4 linked regions of the Schizosaccharomyces pombe genome follow. The gene in region 4 interacts genetically with the main gene of each other region. Each region holds a gene or a part of one and is shown on either strand. Other genes may lie near its edges.

Region 1 (6,272 bases), on a different chromosome or scaffold from region 4:
AAAGAAAAGTTAGAGAGTGAAATCGTCCGCTTCAGTTTCGAACATAGTATTCTTATAAACACTTCAAATGACGAAAAAGAAACCGCTCAATGGATAGTTTCCTTTACCGGCGACATAGCTTTATCTCGTTACAAGCACTTTTCTAAATTTTCAGCTAGAGCCTCTACTACCGAAATAGGACATGTCAAATCCGCCGATAGAATTGAAAACTCTCTAAATTTTATGTTGCGGCAAATACTACGAGTTACACCTAACATTGCTAACGCCATATGCGATCAATTTGACAGTATACCATCTTTAATTCATCATCTAAAAACTCACGGCGAGGAATCATTAACCAACGTTGTCATCCAATCTAGTATTAGTGAACGAAATTTAGGTCCGGTTTTATCGCGCCGTATATATAACACTTTCTTATGTAAAGAAGCATCCAGTGATGCACCATAGTGATCGGTCATTATTTGTATTTCATTAATTGTTATCATGATATTTTTTCCTTTTTTTTTCTATCTATGAAATTTTCTTATGATATACTTTCTTCTAACTAAAAATTAACTAATATCGGTTTCTAACTAAAGCACCTCATCTTCTATATCGTCGGTAGTATTCGTTCAAACTTTCTAGATCAATCAGATTCCAAACTTTCATCGTACTGGTTCAAGGCACGTCTAATGGCTAACACATTGTCTACAATGACAGCATCAACTCCAAAACGTACTTGGCGTCGGACATTGTCAACATCATTATTGAGAACACCATAGGTGTAGCAAGATAAACCCAATTGTTTAACTGCCTTGATCAGCCTCGGGCACATAATGAGCGGTTCACAAGCACTAACGATACCCAGAAAACTCCACTGTGAGGCAAACTTTAAAGCTTGTCTAAGCGATGCTGCACGAACGTCTGTTCGGTAAGCGGTACCTCCTTCAGTCAAAAAAAGAACAGGATTAGTCGATTTCAAAGAAAGTAAGATGCATATATCAGGATTAAAACTAGAGAAAATATACTTTCTTTTACCACCATACTTTTTGATTATCGATAGAATGGTATCCACGTAAAAGTTATAATCATAAGCTATAGGGAGCAATTTCTCTTCCTCAGCTTCACTTAGCATGGGGTACTTAAATTCCACATTAAGTCCTACGGATTGTGGAACTTCCTTCAAAACATCCTTTAAAGTTGTGAACGGTGCACAAATCGTATGACCAAGGGCATTACCCTTATATACTTTAGGCTTCAAACGTGCGTTTTCTTCAGCAAATTCACCGAAATTAACCTGTGATCCTGAAGGTGTAAATGAGGAACTGTAGGCCCTAGGACGTCTCTTCTGCTGAATGTCACTTGCATCATCTTTAATTTCTTCTGAAGGAGAGTGGGAAGCCCCTAAGAATTGCTCCAAAGTCAGCGAATGCACTTGTGCATCCGTTCCGGTTTCGTTTACGATAAAATCATGGTATACCACTGGGACCATGTCTTTAGTCATTTGCACATCTAATTCAACGTAAGAAGCACCAAGATCTGCCGCTTTTATAAACGATTGTAAAGTGTTCTCGCCAAGTTGAAGACTCAAACGATCAGGCTGATTCTTACCAAGTCCACGATGTCCGATAACCGCAACACCATTCGATTTCCCTGATTCTGATGTAGTTGTGGCAGATTTGTGTAAAGAACGCTCAGCGTCTTCCAATGCAGTGCGACTTACGTTGGAAACTGCTTCCAGCGATAAGGCAGGGGTACTTATGCCATCATTTGACGAAAATCTATCATCAACTGTCACCTTAGAAATAAGAACATCCGCATTAACATGAGCTATTGGTTTAAGAGTTTTACTCGAAAGTAATGGTAAGGGTGCCAAAGGTTTCAACGACTGCATATGATTCCCCAAATCAGATACCAGAGAAGTCAAGCAACATACAGTTCTCCCTAATATTTTATGGGATCGATTTGCTAACAAATCAATTGTAATAGTTGCTTCTTCTGTATTTCTTGTAACGAAAACCAATTCATACGGTGGAGAAGACCCGTTTACAGGTTGCGGACTATTTTCTTGTGCGGCATCATAATGCAAATGAATAGAGTCGTCGGCAATTTCATCAGGCTCCGCCAAATTCTCTAAGCAAACTTCACCGGCATTATCAAAATGGGAGCGAGGGATATCAATAATCACTGAGTTGTTTTGGCTAGAAGATGGTGTCATAGAGCCATTAGAAGCAGTAGTGTCGTTTTTACTCAACGAGTCAGTAGATTGAGACATGAAATCTACTGAAGATGGTCTACTTGCGGCAAAAGATGGAGACCGCCCTGAAACATACACAGCATCATCACCTTGAAGACTAACGCGGATTCTACCGGCCAAATCACTGATTCGAATAATGACCACTGAACGAGATAATTGTAAATCCATGGCACGTTTTCTGCTCCTCATTTCGGAACTTGAGGCTTTGATATAAAGTGTATGTAAATTAACAGGCTTATCACTCAAGGCGACTTGAGTTCTAAGTTTATCTGCTAGGTGTAAATACCCCCGAACCACAGCTTGTTCCATAGCAGTCCAACCTGAAGAATCAACTTCGTCAACCGAAGCGCCCGAGGCAACTAAAATTGAAACAATTTCGGAAAGTCCAGTAGCTGATGCAAGCATCAAAGGAGTCCATGAATTCAAAAAATCCCTTGCGCTAGGGTTTGCTCCAAGTTTGAGTAACATTTTAACACATTCCGGCCTGTTATAACGAACAGCGGTGTGTAAAGCTGTATTGCTACTAGCATCAACTTCGTTAGGATTGAATCCTGCAAGGATGAGTTCTTCTACGATCAAATCGTAATCGCCTACACAGCAAGTCAAGACCAAAGGAGGAACGGGTCCCGGCTTGGTAGAGGTTGTTTCCTTATCCTGAGCAGAAAGCAAAGCATGAAGAGCTTCAACATGATTTCCCTTAATAGCCAAAGTCAAGGGAGTGTCGTGCATTACATCGCGCCAACATGGAAGCATCCAATTCAATGGCTCAGAGTCAGGGATTGATGAAACAATTTCACAAAACTTACTGCACAATCCTGCCCAACCGAGTTTCGCAACAGAGTGCATCACACTCTGTCCCTTGCTATTTCGTTCTACAAGAAGAATCCTTGAAAGTAAACGATTAGAATGGTATGAATCCACATAAACCACTGAACAAATTTGTTTCAACACCTCCAAAAAATATAAAACTCCTTCGTCAGGACCACAGAGGTTGTTAATTGCACGACGTAATGCAGAAGCCAGGCACTCAGAACGTAAACCAATTCTTCCTATAACTTCACGCATACAAGCTTTGGCTCCCGCAATGATGGAGGCAGCCAGTATATCTACGAGTACACTATCAGGTGCATTTATACAAGCGGTCACGACCTCTGCGGCAATATCCAGTTGAATAAAAGCTAAAAGATCCTTCTTCAAGGGATGGTGAATTGACAATTTTTCCAACTTGTCTTTCACTTCACTATCGTTTTGAGAAGAATTCAAAGCCTTCAGGGCAATCATGGACTCATAGATCTTGGACGAATTCGCAAAATCAAGCTTACACACCTTCTGCTCATAAAATGTAACCAAGCGCTCCGTACCAAGGTGCTTATCCATATTGGCAGCTAGCTTTTCAAAGGCCAGCTTATTCCATTCACAAAAGGATGATAATTGTTGAAGACGAAAGTCTAGCTCTTTCAGTTGCTTCGCCTTTTCTTCAGCTTCGTAAGATGAAGACAGTGCCTGTGTAATTTCAGTATTGGGAGATTTCTCCGTAGACAAACGAGTGACATAATTATCAAGCTGGACAATGCGAGTATTGAACAAGTTAACAACCTTCTGAAGATCGTTTTCCAACATTTCGTCGATCGATCCCTTTGGCCATGATCCGTCACTATTACGCCTCAATAATTTCTTCCGTTCATCCTCGGGAAGCGCAGCAACCAGTTGAATCTTTCGCTTTATTCCATTATAATCAACATACTGTTCTGCAAACTCCGGGATCAACGCCAATTGAAGACTGTCGGTTAGCAGACAATGACTAAAGCAAACCAACAATTATAAACTAAGAAAAAGAAAAGTTTAAACAATGGTTAGTCATACGGTTGCAAATGATGAGAATGAAGGGAAAGGAGTTTACTGGCAGATCATCTTAATTAATCCCGTACTCCTATTCAACACAAATGCGTATCCTCAAACATAACCGTTACATTCAAGACATTAAAAGCCTTAACCATAATAAACTTTTTGCAAATATTGCATTCTTTAACGGCTATTTGAAGGTCTAAACAACATTCTAAAATGTGTAAAATATGTCGACCTACCTTTCACCAAACTTCATAATAAAGAGGACTGGGATTCAGGAATTTGAGAGAGATCGAAATTAATGGAGTAATCCAATCGTTCATAAACTACTATTTGGCTAAGGCCAAGTTCAAATACGTGGTAGAATACCACTACTTTGGTCGTCGTACGCTTCGTTAACGATAATAACGATTAGCAGCAAATATTGTAGAAAGCCAATTTTGGCTAGCATCGACACAGCTTTGACAAAATTTGCTACAATGGTTTGATGTGATGATTCGAAATATTTTAATTCGAACTTAAAAAATTAACGCTTACAACTTGACACCATTTTTTTACGTCAATTATAACTTCTAATGCTTAGAAGCGTCAACTTGAACGTTACCCTGATGAAAACTAATCAATGAATAATGTAAAAGCTCAATAGTTATTTATCGAGAATCTGTGTCCTTTTTTTACTAAAAAGAACTATTCTGAAGAAGCAGTTAAAACTAACATACTTATGTTTGAGGCTATGCAGAGCACCAGCCATTGAGTGCCTTTGTGTTTGTTTACTAGCTGTTGAATAAAGGGCACAGATGGCTGGGGTTTATTGCCATGTTGTAGTCAAACCGCTGCTGTTTAAGCTGTTGAAAAGACTAAACTATTTGCAAAAGCTCTTTGCGGTGAACAACAAGTGGGCGAAAAAAATATTCTATTTTATATGAATACTATTCTTTAAAATGCAGTTTAAGAAATACAATTTCTAAACGATCTTTTGGACTATTCGATTCCTCGCTACCTCTCCCTTACCTAGGCTGTTTATTTACAAACAGTGGTTGCTATGCCAACCACGTGCTGGTATTGTTTATTTAGAATATGATATAAAAGCATAGGGCTGGCGCCAACGCCAAGTTTGGGCTCTGTAATATAAGGACACACCGAGCTGTTAATTGTGCAAATAATCTTATTATTCTCTCGGTCACGGAACTTGGTATTTACTACTCTTCATTGCCTCAAATTAAGGCAAAGACACCGCAGTGCGAGATAACGATACCACAGTTTTTTTTACTCTCCCAACCTGGATTAACTTTGAATCTGGTTTTATTGTTTTTGGTTTATTTTCATTATTAGATATATTAACATTTTAACTTATTATCACGCCTGCATAGCAAAATGCGGTTAATATCTTCTTTACTGCTGCTTGTCTATTCGGCTCGGTTAGCTTTAAGCTTAAACCTCACTAACCAAACTGCGGTACTCGGATACTGGGGTTCCAACTTGGCAGGGAAAATGGGTGATAGAGATCAAAAAAGACTATCGAGTTATTGTCAAAACACCACCTATGATGCTATAATTCTTTCTTCTGTCATTGATTTCAACGTTGACGGCTGGCCCGTTTACGATTTTTCCAATTTGTGTTCTGACAGTGACACCTTCAGTGGTAGCGAACTGAAAAAGTGCCCTCAAATAGAAACCGATATTCAAGTGTGCCAAGAAAATGGTATCAAAGTGCTACTTTCAATCGGTGGGTACAATGGAAATTTTTCATTAAATAATGATGATGATGGGACAAACTTTGCTTTTCAAGTTTGGAACATTTTCGGAAGTGGTGAGGATTCATACCGGCCATTCGGTAAAGCCGTTGTAGACGGTTTTGACTTAGAAGTGAACAAAGGTACTAACACCGCCTATTCTGCATTTGCAAAGCGTATGCTTGAGATATATGCATCCGATCCAAGACGTAAATATTATATCTCTGCTGCTCCTACTTGCATGGTTCCTGATCATACTCTTACAAAGGCGATTTCTGAGAACTCATTCGATTTCCTTTCCATCCACACTTTTAACTCATCAACTGGCGAGGGATGCAGTGGAAGTCGTAATAGCACTTTTGATGCATGGGTTGAGTATGCAGAAGACAGTGCTTATAATACCAATACTAGTCTTTTTTATGGCGTTGTTGGTCATCAAAATGGATCCAACGGCTTCA
Region 2 (5,644 bases), on a different chromosome or scaffold from region 4:
ATGAAGGTGGCTCGTAATGACCATTACGAGAACGTAGGATTCTAGGAGCACCATCCATTGAATCAAAGATCCATTCTTTAAGAGAGTTATCTGGACCAGCAGTTACTAATATGGGCTGCCCGTTAAGAAACTGTATCTTTGGAAGTGACCCAAAATGAGCATTATATGTAACATTTTGAATTCTTCGCTTTGAAAGATCCCAAAAAGAAAGGTCACCAATGGGGTTGGAAGAAGCTAATATTGGTGTCCCATCAGTACGGAATGAACATGAAAGAACTTGGCCATCTTGTTTGAATTCCATGAGTATTGAACCATTTTTAAGATTAAAGATTACAATACGACCACTAATAGTACCAACAGCTAAAACATCGAGGACAGGGGCTTGTGTTAAACTAGTGATTCCATCACCAAAAAATTCCTGAAATTCATGTACACGTTTAGAAACACGCAAATTCCAAATCTGTAATGCTCCATCTGAGAATCCTAGCAGTATTTTGTTCAAATAAGTGCTTGGATGTAGTAAACTAGTGATATCTGCATTGGTATTAGGAAGAAATGTAGTATGAAGCTCAGGAACACTATATTTAGAAGCGTGTTTCCATACATAAACATGACGAGAAGATGTACAAGCAATAATCCACTCACCAAAAGCATCTAAATGAGTGACTGTTCCATGTTCTTGCTCCACATCAATGTCCCATATTATTTTACCACGTTTATATGCAAAAATTTTTGATCCGGCAGCTACAAGCATGAAATCTTTAAAGGATTTTAAACAAGTAATTTCCTTGTCTAATTGCTTGCCAACGAAAAGCAAATTCAACTTTTCGCAGTCATATGTTTGAAATGTGTTTCCCACCGACGTTGTTACCAAAAAATGGGTTCCACGAGCCTCAATGTCGAAAGGTACTGCATTGGAAACGTGACCGATGGATCTAAAGGCTAAAAATACAGTTAGCAATCTGTTCATTCCAAAAGAAAAAGAGAGAATTTTGACTTACGAGCATAGATCCTAGATTTTCTTAGAGGCTTCACCGCATTTTCATAAGTCCTCCGTTTCTTCTCTGCAAATGGCATTTTATCACAGGAAAGAACACAAATAGCACGTAAAATGGCAAAGGATGGCTCTTGTCCTGTAACTTGCAAAAAGCAGTGTTTGTGAAATTCTAGCAACCCTTTACGACCTACAGTAATAATCGTTAATTTACGACAGTGTATTTACTGAAATCGATAAATGTGTTTAACGATATGGTCAATCCGTCATATATCAATTTTCGGTAATTATAAATAAGAATCGTTCTGCTATTGTTCCGTTTATTTAAGTAAACAAATTATTTATTATTAAAAAAAAAAGAGAACTAAACATTGATGTCTAATGTTATTGTAAGATTTAATCGTAAAAACATGTTAGCAAAACTTCTACATTCTCTTCAGAATACCTAAAGAACTCTATTCACATATATCAAAAAGTGGTAAGGTAAATCTATGATTGTTGGAATTCTGGGCTTGTAAATAATGAAATAAATTTCAGTAAATTCTTAAAAAATATTTTTCTTTATGTAAAAGGTGCGAGAACAATATACTCTTGAACCCAGCTAGTAGAAGTAATTTTTTAATGTTTGTTGCTTGTAAAATTTAAACATTCCAGTCCACGTGTTTTCGCACGGACGAAAAGTAAAAACCTATTAAACAAAAATTTTTTCTAATTCTTTTTTAATTTAATATTGATGGATTTTACAAGCTTTTACTAAACTGGAAGAATACGTTTTTGAAAGAAGAATAACAGAAACTGGGCTTGGTTAAAAAAATTTTTATGAAAACCCAAATTAACTAACCCAGTATAATTAGTAAAAAAGTTATTCATAGAAGCATTACTGCGAAACAAATTCAATATTCACTGTCCACTTCATTTAAGCAACAATTTCTTATTTATTTACATTTCGTTAGGTAAACAAATGTTACCTCGCTGAATTGTAAGGTTAACCGTACAAGTAACATTGATCGACTAGGTGTGTACTAACACCGTGTACCTACATCTCTCATAACCAAACAAGTGAGGGAATTGGCCATTGAAAGAATACAAGTGGGAAAAAGGTGTTTTAAGCGTTATTAAATATTTTAACGTAGTTGAATAATAAAGGATGATTCAAAATGCAAGTCATCTTACATCTATCGACACAGAGTCATCTACCAGAACGGCGTCGCCTGTTTCCTCAATCGTTACACCTACTAAACGAAATGTAGTTGGAATCTGTGCCATGGATGCCAAAGCTCGCTCAAAACCATGTCGGAATATTCTGAACAGAATCATCGCAGAAGGTGAGTTTGAAGCCATAGTATTCGGTGACAACATGATTTTGGACGAAGCTGTGGAAAATTGGCCTGCTTGTGATTATTTGATATGTTTCTACTCTAGTGGATTTCCATTGAAGAAAGCTGAAAAGTATGTCGAGTTGCGTAAACCTTTTTGTGTAAACGATGTAGTATTCCAAGAGTTGCTTTGGGATAGACGGCTTGTGTTGAACATCCTTGATGCCATACGTGTTTCCACCCCTCAGCGTTTGATTTGCTCTCGTGATGGAGGTCCTAAAATTAATAAAGTCCTAGAAGAAAAGTTGCGTCGAAAGTTTGGAATAGAAATCACAGAGGTTCCTACCCCAGAAGTAAAAATGTTGGACGAAGATACTCTTTCTGTTGATGGCAAGATAATAAAGAAGCCGTACGTTGAAAAACCAGTCTATGGTGAAGATCACAATATTTATATTTATTTCCCTAAATCCGTTGGTGGGGGAGGTCGCAAATTATTTCGTAAAGTCGCAAATAAGTCTTCAGATTATGATCCAGATCTTTGTGCTCCACGCACTGAAGGATCTTTTATTTACGAGGAATTCATGAATGTCGATAACGCGGAAGACGTAAAGGTTTATACCGTGGGTCCTCATTACAGCCATGCAGAAACCCGCAAATCACCCGTAGTGGACGGAATTGTGAGAAGGAATCCACATGGTAAGGAAATTAGGTTTATCACCAATCTTTCAGAGGAAGAAAAAAATATGGCCTCTAAGATATCAATTGCGTTTGAGCAACCTGTTTGTGGATTTGATCTTCTTCGTGTCTCAGGTCAGTCGTATGTGATTGATGTGAATGGATGGTCCTTCGTCAAGGATAACAACGATTATTATGATAATGCTGCTCGAATTTTGAAACAAATGTTTCATGTTGCCGAACGTCATAGACGGAATCGTGTACCTTCAGTCCAAGAAGTTTTAAATCCTCCGCCTAGAGAAAGTGAGGCATGGAGACTTAAAAGTTTGGTCGGAGTCCTGCGTCACGCGGATCGTACACCTAAACAAAAGTTTAAGTTTTCATTTACATCTGATCCATTTGTAAAATTATTGCAAGGTCATACCGAGGAAGTTATTTTAAGAAACGAACAACTCAATTCTGTTTTGGCAGCTACCAACCTTGCTACAGAACTCAAATGCGAAGATATCAACAAGTTAAAACAGTTACGCTTAGCTTTGGAAACGAAGAAAGACTTACCGGGGACAAAAGTGCAACTTAAACCGGCTTATTCCCCAGAGGGAAAGCTTTTGAAACTGCAGCTAATTATCAAATGGGGTGGTGAATTTACTCATTCCGCGAGATACCAATCTAAGGATTTAGGAGAGCAGTTTCATAAGGACCTGTATATTATGAATCGTGATTGCCTGAAAGATGTCGAAATATACACATCTTCTGAAAGACGTGTCTCTGCTTCTGCTGAAATTTTTGCAATGGCCTTTTTGGAGCAAGAAACTATTCCTAGCGACTTACTCAAAGTTCGCAAAGATCTGTTAGATGATTCTAATGCTGCCAAGGATACTATGGATAAGGTTAAGAAACACTTGAAATCATTATTAAGAGTTGGAGATACGGCTAGAAAGGAGTTTACTTGGCCAGAAAACATGCCCAAGCCTTGTGAAGTAATGCAACAAGTTGTTCAACTCATGAAATATCATCGCGCAGTAATGAGAGAGAATTTTATTATTTTGGGACCTGAGGTTGAGCAAGTTCAATCGCGTTGGTGTTGTAATGAAAATCCTGCGCTCTTTAGGGAAAGGTGGGAGAAGTTGTTTAGCGAATTTTGTGACTCTGAGAAAGCAGACCCATCCAAGGTTTCTGAACTATACGATACATTGAAGTATGATGCTCTTCACAATCGGCAATTTTTGGAACGCATATTTACTCCCTATCAGTATCTCAAATTGCCTCAGAGTCCAAGCTTGATTGCCAAAGAGCCTCCCCAAAGAACCGATAGCAATGGCAATCTTGTTGGGATGACCGGTGCAAATACTAATCACACTGAAAGGCCGTTGGAAAAGTTGTATGAGCTATACGATTTAGCAAAAGTATTATTTGATTTTGTTTCTCCTCAAGAATATGGTATAGAACCGAAAGAAAAGTTAGAAATTGGTTTATTAACAAGTGTACCGTTGCTTCGTCAAATCATACATGACATTAAAGAGGCACGAGATTCTGATCATGCTTCAACAAGAATGTACTTTACTAAAGAGTCTCATATCTATACCTTGCTTAATTGTATACTTGAATCAGGACTACCTATGAAATTACCTAGAAATCAAATTCCCGAATTAGATTATCTCACTCAAATATGCTTTGAGTTATTCGAGAGGACTAATCCTTCAGGAAATAAGGAATTTTCTGTTCGTATCACACTCTCACCAGGTTGTTATGCCCAATGTCCATTGGATATGAATCTTGATGCTAAACACTGTATTAGCGTTTCACCTCGCAGGTCGCTTACAAGACATTTAGACCTTCAGCAGTTTATAACGAAAACCGAGGACCTCTGCAACTCAGTTCATCTTCCCAAAAGGTTTATTCCTGTTAACATTAATTAACCGCTTTTACCCTTTTTACGAATGTTTTGATAACATAAACATTTTTTAAACGATATTTTATTAGTAATTGCACATAATTAAACCAAATTATTTATTAAACCTTGGTTAATAATTTTGTCTGAATAATTTGTTGTTCGGGTTGCAGTCACGGTGCCGCGGCAATTCCGAACGTTGATCGCAGTCCATGATTGCAATCGAAAACATCGTTAACCAACATCACCAATTTTTGTGAGTTCCATTTAACGTTGGATATCAAGCAAGATGTCGCTTACTCCGGATGAAAAATATGAGTTGATTACTCGTAATCTTCAAGAGGTGCTTGGCGCCAAAATGATTCGCGAAATTTTGAATGAACGCGATATCAGCTTGTACTGGGGCAGTGCACCTACTGGCCGTCCTCATTGTGGTTATTTTGTGCCAATGATGAAGTTGGCTGATTTTTTAAAGGCCGGTGTACATGTTACTGTTCTTTTAGCCGATGTCCATGCTTTTTTGGATAACATGAAGGCGCCGATGGAACTCGTTCAACACCGTGTTCGTTATTATGAAATTATTGTCAAATCTATTCTAAAATCGTTGAATATTCCCATTGAGAAGCTTCGTTTTGTCATTGGCTCCAGCTATCAGCTGAAGGAGGATTATACCCTTGATAACTTTCGACTTGCTGCATCTACGACAGAGCACACTGCTCGTCGTGCCGGTGCAGAAGTTGTCAAGCAGGTCGCTAGTCCTCTATTGTC
Region 3 (5,150 bases), on a different chromosome or scaffold from region 4:
AATTAGTCAACGTCGAGATATGGTTACAGAATGGCAAACACGGCCCGAACTCTTTGTATTTCTACTTTCAACAAGGGCAGGTGGTTTGGGTATTAACTTAACTGCCGCTGATACTGTTATTTTTTATGATTCAGACTGGAATCCTAGTATTGATAGTCAAGCCATGGATCGAGCTCATCGTATCGGTCAGCAAAAACAAGTCACCGTTTACAGATTTATTACTCGTGGAACCATTGAAGAACGGATTGTTATACGTGCTAAAGAAAAGGAGGAAGTACAAAAAGTGGTTATTTCAGGTGGAGAAACTCGGCCAACTAAACAAATGGACCTTAAGGGTAACTCAAGAGAAATGGTTTCATGGCTATTAGAAGAATAAATGGTGTGTGTATAGCTAAAGTTTCGTTAACCCGTTTTATTAAAAATTACTTAACCTAATAGTACATCAATTTTTGCATGGAATTTAATTAGCTAAATATTAACCTATTAATCAAAATGCTATACCGGTCCAGTCCAGGGTTATATAATTAGATGAAATGTTGTAAACAGTCGACGTGCATTTAGACACAAATACGGCTTCTATGTCTGGAAATTAAAGATTGTATTTAAAAAAAAAAATAGTATTAAAATATTACATCAAGGAAGAAAAAAAAAACTAGACACCAGGTATTAAAGACATGCAATATTTGGAACTATAGTATGGTAGACGTTGCTACTTGTCGCAGTTAAAAATACTGGCGATTAAGCAGCTTTTTTCGGGGATTCGCCAATACTGGGTGAATCTGTAGGAGTTGTAGTCGCAGTGCCAGAACGCGATACAACTGTGTCCAAATATCGAAATGCCCAAACTCTCAGCTTTCGCTGCTGAGAGTCTGATAATTCATCTGGTAAAGCTTTTTCTTTTTTGGATAGAACTAACTGAATATGCTTTTTCAAGATAATTTCAGTCATTTTCTTTACTCTCAATTTAAATTCAGCTTTACCAAGCTTCTCTTGGTATCTAGCTGTTTTGTTAGCAAAAAATTTTGCCAAAACTGCCTTAAAAGCAATGCTTTCAGGACTATGCGAAGTTAAATGATGATCAATTGTGGCATCCTGAGAGCTTTTCGTCTTCTTTTCATGCAACTTTTTGGCATGTCTTTTCAAACTTTCTTCGTAAGCAAGACGTCTCTTTTCTTCTCTTTTCTGCTGAGCTATTCTTTCTTCTTCCTCCTTCTGTGCCTTCAACACATTTTTCTGATTGACACTCTCCATTGCCGCTGAAATAATCTTGTTTAAATCTACTTTATTAGCTTGATTGCTGACTTGTTCTTGCTCATTATTTGGTGTAGTTGTTTCAGAAGGAGTGTCAGAGTTAGAAAGACGACGACGTTTAGGGAAAGAATTTTTACGAAAAAGGTTGTGTTTTGAATGGCTTTGATAGTCATTTCCAAACTTGGAACGTGAACGACTATCACTAGGCCTAGAAGAATGTAATGCTGGATGTTTCTTGCTCAAATCTTCTGTTGAATTATTGATTGCAGATTTTATATCTCCCTTATCGCCACGTTGTGGTTCCTGATCCCTTAAAGGAGGATTACTTTGATTATTGGAGGGTTCTGCGTTCGTTGACTGTGGAGCAACTTGACCAGGCTTCCTTCGGGGAATTCGATAAGCTATCTCCAAAGATTCCCATTCTTTTAAAAGAGTTTTGGCATGATCTTTGACCTCCTCGTTCTCATGGTCGCAAAACTCTTGAACAACGGGCTCAATATTTGAATCTTGGATTTTATTTCTTGTTAGGCGTGGCCAAGATAACATGGTTTTTATAGAACGTAGTATAAACTCAATATCAATGCTGAACTTCTTCAGCATCAAACCAAAAATGTTGTAACCACGTAACGCAATGATCGAACGGCATACACTAGGATCTGAAGTCAAGAAAATGCGTTCCATTAACTTTCTTGTTAATAAGTCATCCTTAGTTTGCAGGAGAACGCCAATCACTTTAGTAGCAGACTCAGATGTCAGAGGAGTAGGTTGCACCTCTTCAATAATTTTGCTAGTTTCGTCAATTCCCTTTTTACGACGTTGTCGACGTGCAGTGATGTTTTCCCAGCTATCCTCTTCATCTTCAATACCAAGAGCCTCTCGGACATTCTCAGGTAGTTTCGATTGAGCCTCAGTTTGCGTCTTTCCGCCAATATACCCTACACAGCAAGGTTCTCCGCAATAACAAGGTTGGGCTTGTGCACCATATCTATCGACATTATAGTCAAAAGTAAGCTCTTCACCGCGAATAATATCTCTTTTACAAAATATACCCATTCTTAGCTTATCTCCTACCATCCATTTATCAACATAACAATTAGGTCTACAAGAGTGATTGCAAAATCTTGCGAGCGACCCCCTTTTAGTAGCATCAATATATTCCCCCTTTTGCAGCATCATGAAGTAAAAGTGTTTAATTCCCTCACTATCGTATTGTCGCATACGTTTACGAAACTTTTGTTCAGGTATAACTTCTCCAATGTATTCGTAGACAAATGTGTCTTTGGGTAAATTGGCATCAGCGCGCAAACCAAACCCTTTCTTTTCGGTTAAGAAAACATCCACCTTTGCAAATTCATGTCTTTGAAAGCGTTGGTTTTGACAGGATGGTCCACAAACGTTATCTTCGTCCGTACACTCTATAGAAGTCATTCTATTAATACAATTGGATCCGTGCCCACAAGCAACATTAACTCCATCTACCCAATGAGGCCGACAATCGCAAATCATAGCTTCGTTTTCTGGAGGCTTACCAATATTGGCGGAAGCATACTGACATTCTTGAATCTCTTCGAACGTAGTTAGCGCCTTATCTTTCGCAGAATCCAGGTGATGAAAAAGTTGAGGAGGAAGTGCCTCTTTTCTAACATATTTGCTTTGAGACCGAGAGGATGCAGACGATGGCGAGGACGTAGAAGGGGAAGGAGCACTTTCGTCTTTATTCATCCCTTCGGCATCCTCTTTACTTTCGAAATCATGAGATGACGAAGAAGATGGTGATGAACCGACTGCCTGGACAGCGATTGTGTCTTTTGACCAAGAAGACTTCCTATCAACGTTTTCCTCATTCAAAGGAGTTAAAACAGAAAGAGATGATGCCGTCTGCATTGTATGATAATGGACAAAAAGAAAGAGAAAGTTAAAAAATCTACAGTTTTATTGAACAAAAAGTAATTGCCGAAGGAAGCCAAAACAATAGAAAGAAGACCAGCTGAAATTTCACCGAAAATCTTCTTTTTAGAAAATTTCCGAAAATATCTCGATGCGTAACATATAGATCTTCTAACGTTTCAAAGTTTCGTGTCAAAGAAACAGTGAGATCAGGAAATTGTCTCAAGGAAGAAGTTGTGGCTGTTGGCGGCGTTCCTTCTTTACTCGCGGAATCCTCGTAGGGGCTCACAGTACCGGAGTGTAAACGACAACTCTTGACTTTAGTGTTAAATATTAAAGAAACCTATTAAAAGAAAAGGCTTTAAAATCTTTACTTTCATTTCATTCAAGCATCTACAAAAAATCACCATCACGCGCAACATTTGAATGCCATTCTTTTCCAGAAATTCCATAATAGTTGTTGAAGAAATAACACTGTTAGTGTAATAAAATTCACTCTGTTTTTTACACTCGGCGCCTTATGTAGCGAATATCTTTGAATTAATAATATCAATCATACTATGTAACTGTAGTAGGTTGTTTATCCAAAAAACATATGGTACGCAAAGATAGACACTAATTATCAACAATGAATGAATAAGAAAAGCTTTTTCAACGAATATTTTGAGTGAGGCAGTCAGCGTGCTCATACTGGATAGACCCAGAACAAGTAAGTTTACAATATGTTCAATTTACAAATCCAAGCATGTGGTATTGAATTATATTTGGTATTCTTTTTGTTCCCTTGGTCTTATTAATGTAAAATCATCATCTACCTGCATCTATTGAAGCAGTAATTAAACAGAAGTTTGAGAATCGGTAAAGAAAGAAACTAGGAATGTATGTAATAAAGTCATTTTATTTTGAAAATGCTCATCCTGTTAATTCTAGGTAGATTCTTTATTTCTTCAAACCCAACCACTTTTGTTAATATTGTTTAAACACATAATATATACATTGGCGAAATTGAAATAATGCTAAAATTTTGTCAGAGCATTAGTCATTGTTAATTTTAAAAAGCTATTAAACAAAAATAAAGGCTAAGAAAAAAAGATAAACCTATTCCATATGTTTATATATGTGTATCTTATCTTAAAAGGTCTTTAACTCAAGCTATACTTACTACAATCTATATGCAGCTACTTGTCCTTCATGGCACGACGGTGCCAGTAAAGTTAATAAGAAAACCATACCGAACAGGGGCCAAGTTACGATGAGACAACATGTGAAGAACAAAGGAAGAAGCGATTTCAAGCTTTGCAAAAGGTTTGACCAAATTTAACGAACAAACGTTTCAGCTGTTACCTTGAAAGCAGTTGGCAATAAAAGAGAAAGCGAATTTAATTGCTTTAAATGTTTTACTTTAACTCTTAGATATAAAGAGTGCGGAAAAAGTGGCAGAACCACAAGAAAACAAGATCTCAATCGCAAAAGCAATAAAACTGCAATTCCAAATTTTGTAGATTTTCTACCATTTATGAATAACGTGGGTTAGTGAAATGTAAAGAGATCCGTGTTCGATAGGCATTCCCCAGACAAATTTGACTGCTTTAAACGTCACAAAGCCGAGTAGCAAACGCTCCCACAACCAAACACTACACAAAGGTTCGTCGACAATTTATTTTGGAAAAAATGCACAGCAGCAAGCGAGTTATGACCACAAAGACTCATGTTGAGCAGCCTGAGTCTTCAATGCGTCCTCAGCTTCCCGAAAGCATTCAAGGCTCCTTAATGGACGTGGGAATGCGGGTTCGTAAATCAATTTCCACCGGATACAAGTCGAAACAAACCACGTTTCCTGCCTATAACCCACCGCTTTACAACACTGTTTCTGAAAACATTGCTTTAAAAAATACCGCATTTTCTTATGAGCCTAACGGTACTAAGCGTCCATTCGAGCAAGCAATTCCTAATTATAACTGGGCCAATCCTCCTCAAGACTTTGAAGAACCGGAATGGTTGAAGCCGTTTGA
Region 4 (4,651 bases):
ATAACACTTTTGGGTATGTATTTACGTTTGCCTGTCAAAGTTGGATCGATAGCCTTGGTACGGAGCGTACTTATATTTCAATCGGTGTATTGTGTTTCATTTTTATCGCCACCTCATTCCCAATGATTCTTTGCGGTAAAAGACTTCGCAAGTGGACCGCTAAGCAGTATTATACATTTTTAAACGTTCGTAATCGTTTAGACGAAAAAATTCCCGACCAAGATCGAAGAGGTCAGGATGGGGTTGAAAGTCGATAAGCTGGATTTCATTATAAGTTGTCGCTCTTTTGGGTCAATCCTTTATGTTCATCATGTCTATGTGTTTATTAGTCTAACAAAAGTGAGTTAAGTTATAGTGAAAAAAGTTTTTATTTTTTTATTCATAACAACAAGTAAGTAGGGATAATCACCACTTACAAGCGCTTTATATATAAAATTGAGCAACCATATGGGTTAGAATTATCAAGAAAAAATTAAGACTCTTAAAGTCCGTTAACGCCATAATGCAGATATTATAATTTTTTCAATTATTTAACAGTAAACACATTAAGCAACTAATATTCATGATTGGATGGATAAATCAGTACTATAACAGAGTAAGTAGTACTTAACAATTACGAAAAAAGATGAAGACGAAAAGGTAGCAAAAGATCAGTTGTCCTACCATATGTCTAATAGCCCTGACTTCCACTGAATATAAAAACACGGGCAAAATCAGCCGTCAATCATTATCAAACAAGGTATTTTGTAAAGTCAAAGTCAGATCAAACATTTGCAAATGAAGTTTGACTTTTAAATTTTTTAGATTTTTTGAAACACAACAAGGCAAAAGACTAGGTAGGCTTCCCGCATGATTTGTATTTAATAAGGGTACAATAAAAAAGAAAAGATTAGCATAAAATGATATGATGAAAAGAAAAGGTCGCACTCAGGAAAGGGCTAAGAAATTATTAATAAGCTTGATATACTCAATGCTGCGAATTACTTGAAAGCAGGAGGGCGGTCGGGTTCTTCCAGCTGCTCTGGCTCGTTTTTCTCGTAATTGTAAGGATTTCCATAACCAGCATCGATACAGGCTTGAATAAATCTCTTATCCTCATCCTCAATGCATGTCTGCTTAAGTTTTGGAACGAAGAGAAGGGCTAAAACAGCAACAAAGATAGCCATCGCACTTGCAGCATAAAAATAGTTGCGCACTTGATCACCACCAAAAGCGTAAACACCTGCAATAGCACCACACTTGCCAATAGCCGCAGCAATACCGTAGTAAACACCACGAATGGCAGTAGGAGAGGTTTTGGAAGCAAGCAAACCAATGTTGCCACCGGGACCGAATTCACCCAACGTTAAAAAAATACCGTAAATGACACAGAATCCGGCAATCTTGTGGACCAACTGGTTATAGAATCCGGACATGAAAAAGCCGAAAATGGATTGTAAGACAAGACCGGTGATCAAACAATATTTAGGACCAAGTAAATCAGAGAAAACACCTCCAAGTAAGGCACCAGGAAGGTAGAAGGTATTGATTAGAACATTCCAACCGAATGATCTAGCGGTAGAAGCATCGGCGGGTAAAACACCATCGACAATGGTACTGGAATACAAGCCAAATGCAAAGGCAGAGAGATCGTAGACAAACCAAATGAGGCAAAGAATGAACAAGCGGAAACCATACATTTTCAATACAAGTAGCCAAGGGATTTTAGTGAGGGGAACTTTATGTTTGACATAGGTTTTGGGATCCTTCATGGCAATACGGAAAGGGAGAAGAACGCAAGGAATCACAAGACCCAAGCCAATAGAGAGACGCCAGACAATACGCAGATGGTGTTCGCCAAAGATACAAACTAAAATATAGGGGACAAGAGCACCAACGACAAAACCAAAATCAATGGCACCGTCCGTAACAACGATAAAGGCAGCATGGCGCAAACCCGATTTCAGTTCGTTGGAAGACTCTGAAGCAGCCACGGAGCCACAAGGATACTCAGCACCAATTCCAATACCCAAGAAAAATCGATAAGCAATAAGGGCAGAAAGCATGCCATTGATACTGCCCTTGTAGCCGTAAGCACCCGTACACAGGGCTGTAGACACAATCAAAATAATTGTAGCGGTAATCATGCCATTCTTACGACCAAAGCGATCCGAATACCAACCAAATGACAATTGTCCGACAATGGTGCCGACATAAGCAATCATACCAATGTCCTGCAACGACTTATTGTGAGTGGTTTCCTCTGGGTAGAGTTTACGAAGGATAGTAATCACTGTACCGATTGAATTGGAGCAGTAACCATCAGACATCAAAGCAACACCGGCGACAGCAACGTTTAAGAAATGCTTCCATTGACTAGTTTCCCGTGAGCCACCCTCGATGTCGAACTCGGCTTCTTTTTCTGTTACATGAGCGCCTGAGGACTTGTCGTCCAACTTCTCTTCATCACTGCGATATCGAGTTACGGAAGCTTCAATTGGCTCTTCAACACTAGGTTCGCTAACCTGTCTAACTACTTCATCTTCGCCGTTGTCGACATATTTTGATTCATCCCAGCCACCAGACATTTTACGACCAGTTTTGAAGACTTTTATTTTTTTTTTCACACTGAAATTTCTAGCTGGCAAGCCTGCCACCTTAAATACCTACACGGTAAATGTCAAGTCTGCTAATGAACAATGCAAAAATTTCCTCCTTTCTCAAACACACTCGCTACAGATAGATTTACTGCCGACTTACAAGTCTCGAATAACACAACCAATGACGCTTTCACACTTTGACTTACTGATTTGAATGTCCGAAGGAAAAAGCGATTTATTCGTAAGTTCATTTTAGCAGGCCCCTGTCTTAATTTTAACACAGTTACTTGAGTCTATCACCACCACATTGCTCATGAATACTGTAAAAGTGACATCTTTGAGTTGGCATTTGCCGATGCATCCCTTGTCGCATTTTCTCTCTTGAGACCCAGGCTGGTATTACGATTTGGCAACCTCATCCTGTGGGACAAAAGTTAACGAAACCTTGATAATGACCACATGCCGTTTAACCCAAGGAATTCTCTTCCCGTGTAGGGATAATTGGTTTGTCAGACAAATGTCCTACACATGAGGCAACCATGCCGTATCAGCAAAGCAAAAAATGAAGTAATAGAATTGGTTGAAGTAGATTATAGTATTTCTAAGATTAACCACCATTAAATCACTCACAATTCGTTCAATTGTATGCAAACCAAGGCCCAGGCTGTACAATCATCCTGACCAGATAAACTGTCACATTTCATCGTCATTCGTGTGAAAGATAAAACATGACAGTCACGGAGTCGATATTTTGTGTAGTTGAGGGTGACAAACAACGGACGGCAAAGGAAAAGAAAAAAAAATAAAAATAAAAACGTTTTATTCTTGGAAGCAGTTTAAATTGAGTGAGTGCAAAAAATTCATTAGTGCAAAACGTACCATAGATGCAAAAACGATCTAGTAAAGTGCAAAACAATATAGTGAAATGCAAATAAAGATATAGTCAATGCAAAAAATGATTAGACCATGCAAAACGTTGAAATGCATGCCCGAGTTTAGTTTCGTTTGAGATAGTTTTAAGGGGGTTGTTTGAATATGCAGACAAAACGACTCGTTCTGCCAACATCAAGGATGAGTGAATTCATAATATTCACTCTCCCTTGGGTTCATTTGATTAAATTTGATATGACACTTTCATCTTTCACATCACACAGTCAGTATGTGAGTGCAGCATTTAAAAAAATTTCACTTCGTAAAACTATGATAAAGTCGACAATCCGAGCATTCTATGCGTATTTCGTTAAACAATAGAAGCAACAAGATTGGTATGCATAGTCAGTCTAGTCAATTCAATTCAATTCATTCGAATAAACTATAGGAACGAAATGAATATCATAAACAGAGATTTTGTGTAACAATGTATATTAAAGAGATAAACACATTAAACTTTTAATCTAAAACACAACACAAAATAGAGGGCATCCTCGACAATGCCTTGCTTCAACAAACCCTCATCACACAAACACATACAACTCCCATCCATCAATAGATGCACACGATTCACAAATCAATGTATGTATATCCATGCGATCCATTGCATCAAGGAGGAATGATGGAATGCATGAATGAATGAATGGAAGGATGAAAAAATAAGGAATTGAAGAAAGGAATTACTCATTAAAATTAAAACAATGAAAAAAAAATGATTTAATTCTTGTTGCTTACTATATTCATTTTGTTTTTGATTAGATTTGTATGTTAATGATTTTTGAATAAAAATGTTGTTAGCCAACTTTTCATTTTAACCATGCACACATGCACACAATGCTATTGCCTTTGGCGACTGACCTCAAACCAAACAGCAAAGCAAAAATTGCCCAAGAGAAAAATAGAATAAAATTTAAAAAGTTTCCATATTTGGATATGGGTACCCTGTATATATATGTATGGCGACTCCTCAGACCAATTTTGTGACTGTTTCTTTTGAGTCACAATTTTGACTGAAAGGGAGTAAAGCACGCAAACATGACATTCCTCAGCTCAGACGGAATGTGGCCCGATGTAAAGTAAAGAGGGTTCAGGGATTGCACGTTACCAATATTGTTTCGATACAGACGTGTGGATTGCAAGTC

The links.
Region 1: mutations in tgp1 (region 4) and gde1 impair growth when combined (synthetic growth defect), as found in Schizosaccharomyces pombe (one study listed by BioGRID).
Region 2: of tgp1 (region 4) and asp1, changing one suppresses a phenotype caused by changing the other (phenotypic suppression), as found in Schizosaccharomyces pombe (one study listed by BioGRID).
Region 3: of tgp1 (region 4) and set2, changing one suppresses a phenotype caused by changing the other (phenotypic suppression), as found in Schizosaccharomyces pombe (one study listed by BioGRID).

The regions. Positions count from the first base shown.
Region 1 is NC_003424.3:3,291,695-3,297,966, reverse strand, and holds gde1 (glycerophosphoryl diester phosphodiesterase Gde1), read right to left. Parts: upstream 4,421-6,272; 5' UTR 4,338-4,420; coding exon 4,321-4,337; intron 4,017-4,320; coding exon 626-4,016; 3' UTR 515-625; downstream 1-514. Other genes in the region: Holliday junction resolvase subunit Eme1, read left to right, coding at 1-447; cts2 (chitinase), read left to right, coding at 5,456-6,272.
Region 2 is NC_003421.2:570,970-576,613, reverse strand, and holds asp1 (inositol hexakisphosphate kinase/inositol pyrophosphate synthase), read left to right. Parts: upstream 1-2,041; 5' UTR 2,042-2,141; coding exon 2,142-4,904; 3' UTR 4,905-5,144; downstream 5,145-5,644. Other genes in the region: U3 snoRNP-associated protein Utp21, read right to left, coding at 1-942, 1,002-1,077; tyrosine--tRNA (Tyr) ligase Yrs1, read left to right, coding at 5,166-5,644.
Region 3 is NC_003424.3:5,407,680-5,412,829, forward strand, and holds set2 (histone lysine H3-K36 methyltransferase Set2), read right to left. Parts: upstream 3,387-5,150; 5' UTR 3,136-3,386; coding exon 739-3,135; 3' UTR 501-738; downstream 1-500. Other genes in the region: SNF2 family ATP-dependent chromatin remodeller Ino80, read left to right, coding at 1-376; spd1 (ribonucleotide reductase (RNR) inhibitor), read left to right, coding at 4,810-5,150. UniProt on the Schizosaccharomyces pombe protein: Histone methyltransferase that trimethylates histone H3 'Lys-36' forming H3K36me3. Involved in transcription elongation as well as in transcription repression.
Region 4 is NC_003423.3:349,803-354,453, forward strand, and holds tgp1 (plasma membrane glycerophosphodiester transmembrane transporter), read right to left. Parts: upstream 2,610-4,651; 5' UTR 2,568-2,609; coding exon 981-2,567; 3' UTR 508-980; downstream 1-507. Other genes in the region: SPOM_SPBC1271.10C (transporter), read left to right, coding at 1-257.